2 linked regions of the Oreochromis niloticus genome follow. The protein of the gene in region 1 interacts with the protein of each later gene in a pairwise test. Links are inferred from orthologs where the notes say so. Each region holds a gene or a part of one and is shown in the gene's direction. Other genes may lie near its edges. The genes, in order: sec16b and sec13.

The links.
Region 2: the proteins of sec16b (region 1) and sec13 interact in binary tests that used the Homo sapiens proteins (3 or more experiments, as listed by UniProt). The two-hybrid records come from large-scale screens. The link is inferred for Oreochromis niloticus from reciprocal best matches to the Homo sapiens genes SEC16B and SEC13.

The regions. Positions count from the first base shown.
Region 1 is NC_031986.2:31,135,471-31,143,401, reverse strand, and holds the start of sec16b (protein transport protein Sec16B), read left to right. Parts: upstream 1-4,785; 5' UTR 4,786-5,338; intron 5,339-5,408; exon of another isoform or gene 5,409-5,436; 5' UTR 5,437-5,452; coding exon 5,453-5,715; intron 5,716-5,966; coding exon 5,967-6,058; intron 6,059-6,154; coding exon 6,155-6,257; intron 6,258-6,772; coding exon 6,773-6,975; intron 6,976-7,045; coding exon 7,046-7,197; intron 7,198-7,931. Other genes in the region: gadd45ab (growth arrest and DNA-damage-inducible, alpha, b), read right to left, coding at 2,887-3,000, 3,208-3,415, 3,515-3,616, 3,920-3,969. UniProt on the Homo sapiens protein: Plays a role in the organization of the endoplasmic reticulum exit sites (ERES), also known as transitional endoplasmic reticulum (tER). Required for secretory cargo traffic from the endoplasmic reticulum to the Golgi apparatus.
Region 2 is NC_031970.2:4,864,243-4,872,031, forward strand, and holds the start of sec13 (protein SEC13 homolog), read left to right. Parts: upstream 1-4,597; 5' UTR 4,598-4,810; coding exon 4,811-4,813; intron 4,814-5,012; coding exon 5,013-5,057; intron 5,058-7,444; coding exon 7,445-7,560; intron 7,561-7,789. Other genes in the region: cand2 (cullin-associated NEDD8-dissociated protein 2), read right to left, coding at 65-219, 935-1,078, 2,064-2,131. UniProt on the Homo sapiens protein: Functions as a component of the nuclear pore complex (NPC) and the COPII coat. At the endoplasmic reticulum, SEC13 is involved in the biogenesis of COPII-coated vesicles.

The DNA.
Region 1 (7,931 bases):
GGTCTACTGTGTTCATTTTTCGGCTCCATATGTTTGATATTGGACCTTACAATAGTAGGTTTTCATCATTTAAAGTTCATGATGATCCTTATTTTTCTTAGACTGAGCCTTGGTGCAGATCTTAAGTGAATCCAACATCTAAAACAAACTGTCCTACCTTTAAGCAAGCTATCTTCTGATTGGCTGCCCCTTGTAAACAGAAGGGTTTGAACAGCTGTGGTTGTAGCTGTAGCTGTGTTCCTGACATTAAAAAATTCATAGTAGGGATATCCACTCTCACTGACATTATGTAGAGCTGAGAGTAGAAAAATGTCCTGATATCGAGCATTTAAAGCAATTTGGAGCTTGAGCTTTTGGCTATGAGGGGTTGCTGACCTCATTAATTGAGAGTTTGACCTTGTTTTATATGCACGCCCACCACTGTAATTATATAGAAAATGTCTTATTGTAACAGCATGAATATTACTCCTTTGTCTGAATCACAAGTCACAGTGTTTAGACAAGTGGGTGAGTGAATCGGGTCACAGGCACAAACATTTTTGATTGTTCTAATTTGTTCCAATTTCTCAGCAAAGTTGTTTACATGCCCGTAAGCCATGAGTACCATGTTATGCAATAATCCCTACTTCGGTGAGCACCCTTTTATCTCCTGTCTCAGTCTTCTCAGGTGTGATGTTACATCCAAAATCAGGTCAGGCCATATTTGTTGGCCCACATTCATGTAATCTCCACTCGAGTCAGATGACTTACATGGCTGGCTTTTGTAGCAGCATCATTTGCAGTGATAGTGTTACCTGGTAATGAAGAAGCCCTGGGATAAGCCAATAATCCACTATCTCCAGTATCTCACCTACTTTTAGAAGCTCCTCCCTCAGTGTCAGGAAGGCCTTTCAGCGATCAAACCGATTTTCAGGAGGTGTCATGTCATACAGATCAGACTCTACTATTTCTGATATTGTTTCACAACCTAAAAAACCCCTTCAGATCTAAAAATTCTATGGTTGACGTTATCTACATGTACAGACCTCTATACAGTTTATCAGATTTGCAAACTTTTCTTGTTTATTGCAGTCAGTTTAACACAACCACAAACCATGCAGCTTCTGTCATACCCCACATTCCTCCTCAGTCTTCCAGTCCCTTTTTGACCCAGTTTTCCCTCCCCATCTGTTATCCCTCCACTTGAGAGGAATGTTGTCTTTGTGATATCCCTGCCTGCAAACTGACATCTCTTCATCGGGTCAGTCTCTGTGCGTACACTGCATGTTAATTACAAGAACTATTATTGTCGGTGGTCAGAGGGTATGCCTCTATTCATGTGGCTATTTTTAGGCATAAAGCTAAAGTACTGTACAGCTCTAGCAATAGACCTGAATAGCCCTGACTCATGCATCCTTTGTCTCGTGACCCTCTGTGTGGAAACCTTTGTCCTTTCTCACTCTGTGCAAGCACCAATAAGTTCTGGTTTTCTCGTTTTACAGCCTGAAAGGGGTCTTCAACAGTTTTTTTTTTTTCATGCCTCACTGCTATTTTTAATTCTCTCAGCAGTAAATTTAGCAGTGATTGCGTAAATGCAGAGGGGTGTGAAGAAGGAGCTGTCACAATGAGCCCAATCCCACTTAGATTCAACTACAATGGGAATTCTCCACCCCTTTGTGTAATAAGATCTCAAAGATGTGCAAAAGGTCAATATTTACTAGGGTTCCCATGCAGGAGTAAACTATTTCAAGAAACCTCATGCCTGCAGCATATTTCAAAGCCAGCTGATCTGGTCTGAAAAGACTTGTAATTGCCCAGTTTTCTGCCACAGGCTAGATTTTTTTTTTCTCAAGCTGGGAGACAAAGCCCAGATGAGGTGCACAACTCTAGTTCCTTCTCAGACCATGTGGATTACCAAAAACATGCTAGCTACTCCACTTCAGTCTTTCTTGTACACCCTCCTAAACAGGTTGGCTCTATGCTGAAATGCAAAAGACACAGGCTCCTTAAAAGCGAAAGCATATGCCAAGTAAATAATTAAACGTGTCACCTCCCTTGTGACATGCCACAACAAACTCCAACTCCGAATGTCGGGAAATTCATGCATGATTTTCTAAAAGTACACTGATGGAGTAGTTACTGACAAGGCAAAGCAAAACCCATCCGAGAACTGTTTTTTAAATGTTATTTTATTCAGCTTTTCAAGGCACAATCTTTTCAACTATGCACAATAAATATAACTCATTAAATTAATAACATAACAACAAGTTACCGGACAAACATTGTATTGTCCATAATAATAATAATAATAATAATAATAATGATAATAATAATGATAATAATAATGATAATCAACTGTGAAAACTTTCCCTTTTGAGTTATCAGAGTTATCAAAGTGACAAGTTTTTAAATAAGATTAATTAAATGTTCTCTTGAAGAAATGCTGAGTCAATTTGGTCAAATTTTCATGAGAAGTTTCTCAAGCTGACAGATGACTGATCCACTCTGGTGTGGTCCAGTTCCTGGAGTCTTGTCAGCTGAGACACTCTGTCGGCTTTTCCCCAGTCCATGCGCCTGTGCTCGGCACCACGTGTGCTCCATGCTCACATGATTCCGTTTCCTCGAAAAGGATTCTTTCTCGGCAGAGAAAGGCGCAGTCATACGTTAGAAAATCCGGGAACCCAGACAGCTGAGTCACTCTTCCTTGGCCCACAAGTTCACCCTGACCTGGTAAATTTGTTGGAACGCTCTTTTTTTCCCCTTCCTTCCCCTAACTCTCCAGTCGCTCTCTCTCCACCTCTCTCTCTCTGGGGCGCTTTCCAATCAAGTCCAACACAGACATTAACACAGGCCTTAGGCAGTTACTTTTTCCCCAATGCACACAATACATTAATATTCCAAGCAGCTTCATCGGTCAGGAAGGTTGATAACAGGCACCCACTGATCCAAACACCGGCAGTCTCTGCAGAATCTGTTCAACTTGCTCAGTGCAGGGTCCTTCCACGGGGATGACTGAGGATTCTGCACAGGAAAGGGCAAAGCGGTTACCATCTGTTCATTTACGAAACGTGCAAATAATAATTCAGATTGCATAACTGATGCCAACTCCCTCTAAGTGCTGACAGCAGAAACGAGAAGCAATAAACCCCAGGTACATTTGATTGCTCAAAGGGAAATGAGCAATATTCCCAAGGTTTAAACTAAACGGACGTGAGTAATAGTACTTACAGTAACTAGAACACAGTGTAAGTCCATTGGCTCTCCTCCAGGCTTCACTCCGCCGAGTATCTCTGCCAGACGCCTCATGTTGCTCACACGCAGGATGTTGATGTCATTCTCGCAGCAGAAAGCCTGTATCAAGGTAAAGTGAATCTGCAGAGCCACATCCTCCTCATCATCTGTGGCCAGTAGACACAACACCACATTGTCTGGATCCCTAAAAGCAATGAGGAAAAAGTAAAGCAAACATTACTACTTCATGCTCATCCCAGCTAGTTTTTCTAGTGCGGCAGTAGCGAGCTTACTATTAACTTACACATTAAGTGACTTCGCTGCTTCATAAACTCCGACAGTGATGCAACCCTGAGGCAACGCAGAGCTCAGGACCTCCTCTAACGCTGTAGCCACCGAGTCCATTCTAAAGAAACAAAAGTTTATCAGAACACGCATGATCAGTGAGGCTGTTAGTTTAAGCTTTGATGACCCAATTTTCCAGCTACCGCCGTTCACGTGATATATGAATGCCAGCTCATGTAACGTTGCATGTGTGATACAAATGCAAGAACCGCGAGAGGGCTCAATATAATAGGGCTGAATGTCGGTCACAACGGGCAGTGTGCAATTATATCTGCAAACCAATAATTCTAACAAAAAGTTTCTAAATTCGTATTAAAAACAGAATTAAATTAAAGGAAAATGCAGAGTTCAACGCAAAGCTAACCTTTCTGTTGAATTATCTCCACTGGTATCTTCAAAAGTCATATTGCACATCCAACCGGGTCTTGGTATAATATCCAGAGCGGAATCTGTGCGTCCTCTGTTGTCTAGTGAGACTCTCGCTGTGCTCTGAGCGTCCGGGTTCCAGTAGTAAAAATCCTGTGTACGCAGAACTCATTTGCATAAAGCCTACCCAGTTGTGGATGACTGGTCACATGATTCACATTGAACCTGTTCTTAGAAGAAAGCGACATCCCGTGGCCATAACTGAACAATGACTAATATGAGAATAATCAGAACTAGTTTCTGGAAATATACTAAAACCAATTCGTCAGTAATCACGAGGCATTTTCGGAATTACAGCAACATTTTATTTCACTTCCACACAGTGTAAGAAAGTAACATGTCATAGCTTCTATGAAAATTTGCCAAAAAAAAAAAAAAAAATCCCCAGTAAATATTCATTTTAACAAATAGACCCCAAATGCATTTATGTGATTTTACAAATACAGATTCAAAACATTAACATTTAGTGATTTCGTTTTACGGTGCAAAGTAGTTTCTGGCTTCAATATTAAAATGTCCAAAAATCTTACAATGTTTTCTTGAACATGACAGTAAGTTCACCGCACTTAAATGACCACCACAGTCACCAGATCTCAATCAAACAGATCGGATGTGATAGAGCGCAAGATTCACGTCATGGATGTGCAGCCTACACATCTGCAGCACCATGTGATAGAAGATGTAAATATATGACTCGAGTGAAAGGAAATGTGGGATATAGCGCCTTTGCTGGTAAGTAAGGCGTACTTTTTTAAAACTCTGAAAAAACGTTGGGCTGTGACGCTTTCGCTGTCTCGAAAACTAAATCTGATCGGAGACCAGCTGACCGTCATCTGCATCCTGCCTACCGGCAACGTGGCAAGATCTAACATTTCAAAGTTGCGCTTTTTTCTGCACATGCAACCTACAGTCGAAGGCACGGTTTGTCATGTTGTGCTGACGTAGACCAGAAGGTCAGTATAGTTTTTGTTGCGATTATCCCGAGGATGGACGTGATTTCCTCTTTTACAGCGCCCTGGAACTGCAGCTGTCAAACTCTTCAGGGCGTGCTCCACTGTTTACCTTCAGATCACTGAGATACACAATGCAAACACAACGGAGCTCAAGGAATGTGCACTTATGTGTGATTTTTAATCCGTTTAATATGTAATTATCCTATGCATATATATGTGTGTGTATATATTCCTCGCACTTGGATTTACTCCGATTTCACCTCCAGAGCACCGAGACAACATTTTTTATGAGTCACAGTATTTTGTGAACTTTATCCTCTTGTTATCAGCTCATGTTGTGAGTTTCCCATGGAGTGATGTGGCATTTGTGGATGTACTTTGACTGCGGCTGGGATGTGTGAGCTGTAAGTATAACAAACGTTTGCAACTTTCTTTCTGCTGATTTTACTTTACACTGCGAATTAATGATTGCAGACATTTCCCATTTTTTTTTTTACCGCAGGTGTTAAAGGGTCATCATGGATCACAGAGGTCACTACTGGCTGGACTCAGGCCGTCATTCCCACAGAACAAAAGACAGAGAGGGATACACCAGCTACTCTCAGCAGGAAAGGGACCAGCTCTATCCACCTCCGGACCTCAGAGAGAGGGACAGGCACTGGGGCCATCCTGATGCCCATTACAATGCTCATTTCCCTCTGCCTAGACCTGACTTTTATCCATACACCAGTCAGCAGTATCAGTATGGGTATGGACCTGAGCACCAAAGACCTCTGTCCAGGTTTGTACAGTTGCAAGTGACCCCAACTGGCTACGAAACTGGAGTTATTATTTGGGTATTATTAGTGTGTTTTATGAATGCAATGTGGGATAAAGGTTGCACAACAGTTGGTAAAAGAGGCCTGGTTCCAACACTGAGCTGAGTGTAGGTTTCTGTCCTTGCTAACAGTGCATGCTGGGATATGCAGTGCATCACAGATGATGGAATTACACAAATGTAATAACTTCATTAAGATTTTCCTTTATTTTCAGGCATGGTTATGACTATCCACCTTACAGCCACTGGGACTACAGAGACAGCTATGGTTATTATGACTACTACAGAGGGCAGCATGGACGACAAGGTGTAGTGATACAAAACAGCCAAGCTTTTTTTTTTAAAGTCATCTTCTACGCTCTGTATAAGAGAAATGGGATGATGTGTAACGCTGTTTTTTAAGATGGTGGCCAGTGGGGTCCTCAAGAACCACGGAGAGCAGATCGGTACCATGACAGGGCACACAACCAAGAACAACTAGGAAGCGTGAACACTGAGGAGTACAGGTGGGTCAGTGCACTCTACTTCTATCAAAGCCAATGCCTTTGCTATCTGATGTTACTGTGAAAATGATACCTGCACAAAAGAGAGAGGTACATCCAGAAATGTTGACAGGTTAAACGGTTCTCTAGCACTACATAGTTTGTATGAAGGGTTTAATAAAAACAAAAAAAACCCAAAATAATAAAAAGCAAAAGAAAACCTATAATGTTGGGGTTGGATATTACAGGTTTCAGTATAATATGTTGTGGTGATAGATGGTCACTCTTGATCAATATTGTGGGTGTAGAAATAAGCTAGAGGAGAATGTGTACACAAGAATTCAACAAACAGGCAAGTATAAACGATTAATGCCTAAATATTTATTAAAAAACAAACATACTTCCTGCATTACAGTCTGTCTAATAATCACTGCAAATTCTGTGAGCAAGAAAGTTACACGAATACAGCATAGACTTAACTGCTATGTGTTCTTGCAGTAAAGAAGGAAGCAATGTACATGAAAATGCATTTCTTTCAGGTACAACCAGGTGAGAGACAGCTCTCAGCATTACCTCAATGACTCTGAGGACAATCCCTCCAGAGACAATGAAGAGATTTCCTCTTTTTACCTTGGGACATTAGAAAGCTCCAAAAACTCAGGGTTATCTTCCAGCAGCTATGAGCTGAGTCAGTACATGAATGGAGCCGAACACAGCGACGCTGCCCCTCAACCTGATGGAGGTGAGCACGCAGTTCCTCTCACGTCCACATCGTCTCTGCTTTTTTTTTTTAAAGCTTTGTATTTCCTCAGACCGAGCACATGTGCATCAGATGCCAGCTCCTCTGAAGTACTCAATCCCTCATGCTGTTGTCAGTTTTGGGCCTGCGGGTCAACTGATTCGGGTCACTACAGGCTTGTCAGCACAGGAGAATGTCAGCCACCTGGAAATCCACAGTCTGGAGGTAGGTTCACAGTCAAGTTGTTTAAAAAAAGCAACAGATTTTCATGGAGGATACTACTAATCTTTTACCTTATGAAAATTATAGCACTCTCATGGACCTTAAGGGTCCTAAAGGTATACTATAGTCAGACTAACAGGATGGATTTGGGTCTGTTGGAAAGGATTTCACAAAATCCCCTCGACTTTCACCTTGTAAGAATCCTGTCATTGTAAAGTTTAGAGGTATTTCTTTTGGGAATATATATGAGCCACTTCAGAGCCATCTGTCTTCAAATACTTATATAAGGCTAACACCTCAAACTAGGACAGAACAATAGTAATTATTTTGCTCATGTCAGGGATAATTAAGCCATTAATATTATTATTTCATGCATTTTCATTTGTTTAGTTTAGTTTCACTTTATTAAAGAAACACACGGGTCCATAACAAATAAAATCAATAAATACATACAGAATACATTATTTTTTTCTGTTGTTGCTTTGTATTCCCCTGAAACATGTAACACACATCAGTATGTATAATGGTTTCTTGGAAACCTAAAAACTCTGTGAGTTTGAAAGCATTTATGTCACAGAGTAGTTAGGGTTATTAATTGGTGAATATTGATTTAATGAAGTCTTTGCTGCACAATTTTTTTTAGTTTTAAGTCAATAAAAAAGAAATACACTGTAATAATGTTTTCCACTACTCAGCAGCTACAAATATATTTTTTATATTTCTACTTGATGTGGCAC
Region 2 (7,789 bases), on another chromosome or scaffold:
AAATCCACCAATAAAAGCTGATCATTGCGACGAGGAGACAGGTGGGAGGACAGTGAGCGCTCACCTGAGGATGTGAGTGGCAGCTCAGCGATCACAGTCTTCAGTCCCATGCTGGAAATGTCCCTCAGCTGCTCTTTGTCTGACGTCATGTTTGAACACAGCACGTCCACCATCGTCTCCACCTGGGGCTCCTTCACTTTGCTCACCAGAGGCGCCAGGCTTAAAAACAAACACACCATGTTAAAAAATGTCGTAATTTTGTATCAAACCACTATTGATTTAAATAATTATGTAATAGAAATATGACCTGTAGTATCTAACCATGCACTTAACTGCAAACACAAATAGGTGGCTACCTAACACACACAGCCTGCTACACAGACACCATCAATACTTCCAGTCCAGCATAAATGAAGGTACCACTCTCATTTTAGTGCATTACCACTCTTATCTTTATTTAATTCAACTTCAATTCAGTTCAATTCTATTTTATTTATACAGCGCCAAATCACAACAACAGTCACCTCAAGGTGCTTTATAGTGTAAGGTAGACCCTACAATAATACATACAGAGAAAAACCCAACAATCACATGACCCCCTATGATCAAGCACTTTGGTAATAGTGGGAGGCTCCCCACGCTGAACTTTGATATAATGTTGTGACTTTCCATTACCTTTATTCAACAGACAAAAGTCACCAGAAACAGACTCTCAAGTAAATGGGAGTAGATGATACAGCAAAACTTAAAATAGTCTATAACTCAAGGGTTAGGTAAAAATGCAGCCCTCTGGTGGTTAAACTTAGCTAACCCTTCCACAGAGGATAGTTACAAAGAGCACCTTTGTAGGAATCCAAAAATAAATCTGGATAAATAAAATACAGTTTACATGAACTAAACCGGTTCACACTGTGCGTACGAGTGTGATTTTTACCATTTCACAGCCAGGTTCTGCACCTCCCCATTCTTGTCTTCCAGCAGTTTGAGCAGCATGGTCACAACTCTTCTCTCGCTGTCCTCGTCCAGCTTAATGCTGTCCTTCTGCAGCTCCAGCATCAGGTCATTGGTGGCCATGAACCTGCACGCACACACACACACACACATAGAGACCAAAGTTAATAAACTGATCTGTGAATCCCTTCAGTGATCCTTCTTTTCATTACTGCCTCAAAAAAGGGTCAAATAATGAATTAAGTGTATCGATTTGTTTAGATGTCTATTTATTCTTTAATTATTAATCCAGATTTTCAATTGTAACATTTAATTAGATGCTTTTTTCGCCACTTCTGTTACAATTGTGGTCTTTCAGTAAAGATGTGCACATTACTTGTCCAATAAATATTTAACTCATCAATTCAATGACAACAAGGAGAAAGGTAGAGGTTGGTATATTAAGTAATTCAAATCTATACTTGTGTTGTTGTTGGCTTATAGATGTGTTAATAACACTCAAAGAGTTATCAAAACATGTAAAACAGTTGCAGAATATACTTTCCTTGGTCACACATGACAGTAAACCCAATATGTGTTGTGTTAAAAACATCTCCAAAGATATTTTGCAATGTATTAAAAGATTTTTAAGACAAAATAAAACAATAACAAAAATCTCCAACATTCTTGAACCTACTGCTATCTACCTGGACAACAACGACTCACTTTCTCAAAATATAAAACAATTTAGATCATGAATTTATCATGTTAGCAAAAAATCCCTACTTCCAATTTCTGAAATTGAGTATTTGATGCTTTAAAAAAATCACAGCCGACACAGGGTTAGGGTTAGACAGATATTTACAAACATATTTTGATAATGATTAAATTAGTCAATAATATTAATATAACATTTGGAGTTTTTTATGAAAACGTAACCTTGGTTAGGTAAATTTGTTAAAATTGATTTTTGTTTTCAGGTAGAGAAAACTAATAAATGATGTGTCGATTAAATAAAAGTAATTAAGACTGTATAGAGGGCACTATTGTCTCCTGTGTGGTAAAATGGCACACACAAGTCGTGGTTTTAAAAAAGTGTCATCTCACTGTGAGAACTGCTCACTGTTTCTTACCTGAAGTCTTTGTCAGTGGAGGTCATTTTCTCCAACAGGTTGGAGATGTGGTAGGACACACTCGACATCTTTCCACTGTTTAGTCACTCAGGCTGAGAAAAAGTTTTTTTTCTACGGTAAACTCAGAAAACTTGCCACCAGATTTAAGCCGACAACATGGCGAGGCTAGGGGGGGCAGAGAGGAGAGCTGACGGCCCGATGGAACCCGACACTCGGCGTGCCCGGACAAAAATAGACGGCAGGGGACAGTGGTTCAGCTTTGTGGCGCCGCCGTGTGGACACACGGAGTCCGACCGGCCATACGGAGGCGGTAATGTGCCGATAAACCGAGTTTCAAGTCTTATTTTTACGTTAATTTGCCGAAAAAAACGCCGACGGTTATCGGTTAGTATTAACCGTTTGGAATTTGATCCCACCTTTATTGATAAACAAATTCAACAACAATTACAGTACCCGTTTAGATTTTTTTCTCCTCAACTTTATTGATAACTAACACATGCAGCAAAAGTTTGGGTTAACTGTGTTCTTCACCTTTCCTGGCAACGATAATAATAAAAATAATAATAATTATTATTATTATTATTATTAGTAGTAGTAGTATTATCATTATTATTCAAAAACAGAGTCATTTGACAAAAAAAGACAAACTTAGGACAAGAAACAGACCATATTTAATGAAAGAGATATTTGTATATTATACATACAGTTAAGCCCATAATTATTCATACCCCTGGCAAATTTTGACTTAAAATTACTTTTATTCAACCAGCAAGTTATTTTTTGACTGGAAATGACACAGGCGTATCACAAAAGATAATAAGATGATGTACAAGACGCATCATTGTGGAAAAAAATATTTCTCAGCTTTTATTTACATTTGAGCAAAAAGTATCATGTCCAGAATTATTCATACCCTTTACAAACTGTCACAGTCTCTGGGAAAATCCAAAGTTCCATACCATTCCAAATAGTCAAAGCTGTTCTAAAGCATCCTAATTACCCTGATTAATTGGAAATAGCTGTTTTACTCAACTCAACAGGTGAAAAACAGCAGCTCTCTGCAGGTGGTCTGTGGACATTCATGGCTAAGACAAAGGAACTCAGTGAGGACCTGCAGCTGTGCATTGTGGCTGCTCACAAGTGAGGAATGGGCTACAAGGCCATGTCCAAATGTTTTCAAGTTCCAGTGGCTACAGTGCAAAGTATTATTAAAAAATACAAGATGTTCCGCACTGTGGAAAATCTCAGAGGACGTTGTCGGAAGCCAAAAGTGAAACCTGTGCTGGCCAGGAGGATAGTGAGAGAGGTGAAAAAGAATCCAAGGATCACCACCAAGGCCATTCTGGTGAATCTGGGCTCTGCTGGTGGCAATGTCTCAAGGCAGACAGTCCAACGGACACTGTTGGGTTCCACGGATGCAGACCAAGGAAAACGCCACTTCTCCAGGCACTTCTAAGGCATGCCAAAGCTCGTTTGGCCTTTGCAAATGCTCATCTGGACAAAGAAGAAGGTTTCTGGTCTTCAGTGTTATGGTCAGATGAAACAAAAATTGAATTATTTGGTCACAATGATGTTGCCTTCATTTGGCATAAAAAAGGAGAAGCCTTCAACCCACAGAACACCATCCCCACTGTCAAACATGGTGGTGGGAACCTAATGCTTTGGGGGTGTTTTTTAGCCAATGGACCATGGAACCTAATCACAGTAAACAGCACCATGAAAAAAGAGCAATACATGAAGATTCTCAACAACAACATCAGGCAGTCTGCAGAAAAACTTGGCCTTGGGAACCAGTGGACATTTCAGCACGACAATGACCCAAAACATACAGCAAACATGGTGAAGAAATGGTTAGCAGACACCAACATTAACGTTTTGCAGTGGCCTAGCCAGAGTCCTGACTTGAATCCAATTCAGAATCTGTGGAGGGAGCTAAAGATCAGGGTGATGGCAAGAAGACCGTCCAACCTGAAAGATTTGGAGCTCATTGCTAAAGATGAATGGGCAAAAATGCCTGTGGAGACATGCAGAAAGCGGGTCTGCAATTATAGGAAGCGTTTGATTGCTGTAATAGCCAATAAAAACTTTTCTATTGATTATTGAGAAGGGTATGAATAATTCTGGACATGATACTTTTTGCTAAAATATAAATAAAACCTGAGAAATATTTTTTTCCACAATGATGCCTCTTGTACATCGTCTTATTATCTTTGGGGAGACACCTGTGTCATTTCTGCTCAAAAAAGAACTTGCTTGTTGAACAAAAGTAACTTTAAGCCAAAATTTGGCAGGGGTATGAATAATTATGGGCTTAACTGTATATATATATATATATATATATATATATATATATATATATATATATATATATATATATATATATATATATATATATATATATATGTATATACATATATATATATGTATTTGTATGTTCCATTCCATTCAAAAGGAGAAAATGTAACTTTTTGAAATGTTTTCACTAATCTAGGAGGGATCGGATTTTAATTTATTTAGAATGTGTTCATATTTAGCTTCTAAATAAGGTTAAGGTTAGCTCGTCAGACGCTTATGCGGAACCCTTGTTTACTGGTTGTTATTTCCGCCGGTATGATGTGCGGTGGGACTCGGTGGGAAACGGTTATCTTACTTGTTGCCACGTCGGAGTAGTCGGTGAAGCCGGGTTTCTTTTTTCTTATAAAGGAGGATTACTCGTGTTGTTCGGGGTTTCTGTGTCAGTCACGGTCATGGTGAGTTTGATAACTTTGCATTTAGGCCACCGGTGAAGCTGCTCGCTGACGTTTGTGGCATTTTCCCGGTTACCGTTAGCTGCTGACGTGCCCAAGTCCTAGTAGCTCCTTAGCAAAGTGGCTAGTAGTAGCAGGAAAATCAATGAACATTTTAATTAATGTGCAGTATTTGTGATTATATAATGTTTGTTCATTTCAGGTTTCCGTCATTAACACCGTGGACACCTCTCATGAGGACATGATTGTAAGTTTTCCAGTTTTTTTCCCCTTTTTTATTTAACCCAAACTAGTTGCTAATCACAGCTGATGTTAGCCTTCTTGTTTTAAATACCTGTAAGTGAGCTTTTACGCGTGATAACTAGAGATACAAACATGTGTACAATGAAACGTCAGTAAGTATTATCACTGTAACGTGTCATCCATTGTCTTTAAACCCAGTTGTAACAAACTAACATTGCTGCGATCTGACACTGCTAGCTGATCATCAGAGACTGATACTGTTCTTTTAGGATCATTGTCCTAATTCATGACCCTCTTTCAGTTTTAGCTCTCGGACTGATGACTTCACATTTGACTCTAGAATAAAAAATATCTGGGGGTTTTCTTGGATAACAAAATTAGATTTGAGAAACAAATTTATTCAGTTGTTCAGCGGTCCTTTTAAAAAAAAAAAAAAAAATTAAGGCTCTTATTCGAGGTGAGATTATTTTTATCCTTTAAAAACTTGGAAGGAGCAATCTATGCGTTTGCCTTATTTCAACTGGATTACTGTAATTCGCTTTATGTTGGTGTCAGTCAGTCCAGTTTGGCACGGCTCCAATTTGTACAAAATGCTGCAGCCTGTCTTTTGACTCGTGTGAAGAGACACCAACATTTTACCCTGGTGCTTGCTTCCCTTCATTGGCTTCCAGTGCAAAATGAAAATTAAATTTAAAATCTTACTTTTGACTTAATAAGTGCTAAATTGTCAGGCACCAGACTATTTGTCTGACCTTTTGCAGCTTTATATGTCCTCTAGAGGCCTTTGATCAAGTGATCATTTACTCCTTACCTTACACAAGTCTAGGATGGTTCATAGAGGGAATTGGGCATTTGTGGTTGTGGCATCGAAAACGTGGAACGATCTACCTCTCCACATTAGAAAGGCCCCAACTGTCAGTCTTTTTAAATCCCATCTTAAAACATATTTTTTCGCTTTGGCTTTTTATACTGCATGAGAGTCACCAATTCTTTTTATCCTAATTTTCTTTTAATTTTCTTACCTGTTGTTGATGTTAATGCCACTGTTTAATTATTACGTTGTACAGCACTTTGGTCAACTCTCTGTTGTTATTAAATGTGCTTTATAAATAAATAAATAATAAATAGAATACTTTGGTATACAGAGGAGTTTATGGTCGACTTGTAACTGCAGGGTTTCCATGTGCAGTGGCTGCACAGCAAGCCCAAATCGGCACCTCTTAACCATTTTGCTGAGTTTGGTTTTCACCAGACTTCTACACCTGATCTTGTCTGTCCAAAGAACATTATCCCAGAAGTGCTACCATGTTCTTTAGGGAGAGATGAGGCTTTTTCCAAGCAAACCAGACTTGTTCAGTTGTGCTCTCTTGTGCATTTAACCGATGTTGGCCGATACATGTAGCGTCTCATAGAAACAATAGGGTGTACTAAGTTTATTTTAAAGATCTACTTAAAGTTTTTTTTAAACTGACTTTTTTTCACATGACTTTATATGTCACTATGTTTCATAAAGTCCAGACTACTATACTAAATTACATATAAAAGAACATTTGAGTTGATTAAATTAACAATAAAACCAGGATTGTCAGTGGGTGACGACACACAGCAGAACATCATCAGCCCACTCTGAACCTGTTTTGTGTTAATTCACACAAACAGTGATTTTCACTGTTGTTTGTGATCATTAAGTCATACATGATAAAGCACATTGAGCTGAGCTCCATCTTTGGCAAAGGCTATTAAAATAATAATTTCAGAAACAAATCATTAACAACTTGCCACTGATACCCTGTGACTGTTGCCACAGATACATTTGAACTTGACTTAGCTTTACTTTTGTGCAGGTTATAAACTGTAACCTGTACATTTGCTGTAGGACTTTTGTGTTTTACACATGTTTATCTGAAGTAACACCTCAAAAACATGAAAGGGACACAATAACATTAACTAACTGAAGAGGGCAGTGGTAGACCAACATGTTCAATGAGGTAACGACACTGTTTGTGTCAAAGCCGGTTTTGAATACAGTACATTCATAGATATGGCTTCATTTCCCTGTTGGAAAGGACAGTCCGGCTGCTTTTGGCTGCTGACTACAGCCACTGAAAGCACATTATTTAGATTTAAGGCTGATTCTCCAGCAAAAGAAGATGTGCAAAAGCTCCTCAGTATCCGAACTATCCCTTTTAAGAGAATAAAGTATTTTCTTTTGACTAAATCATTGTTGCAGCATTTATCCTTTTTATTTTCTGTTAGATGATGTTTAAACTGAACAATCACCATGAGAATGAAAATATTAATAAAATATAAAATAATAAAATATTGTTTAAATTGAAAGGTAGAGGTGGAGGTTCTCACTCAGGTTTTTACATTTTGCTCTGTCTGTTTCAGCACGATGCCCAGATGGACTACTACGGGACTCGGCTCGCCACCTGTTCTTCTGACCGCACCGTCAAGATCTTTGACGTCAGAAACGGAGGGCAGATCCTTGTGGCAGACCTCAGAGGGTAAGAAGTAGGGCTGGCTCATATCTAGGGGTGCAACAATACTCGCATCTATAATGAACCGTTCGATACAGTGCTTTCGGTTCGGTTCGCATATGTATCGAACAATAGAACATTTTTTATTTATTTTATCAACTTTTCTTTTGATGATGCTGTCTGTGTTGAGCGCTCAGTGGATTTGCACTGTTGAGTGCAGATCCACTGAGCGCAGCGGAAGCTAGCAAGACAGAAG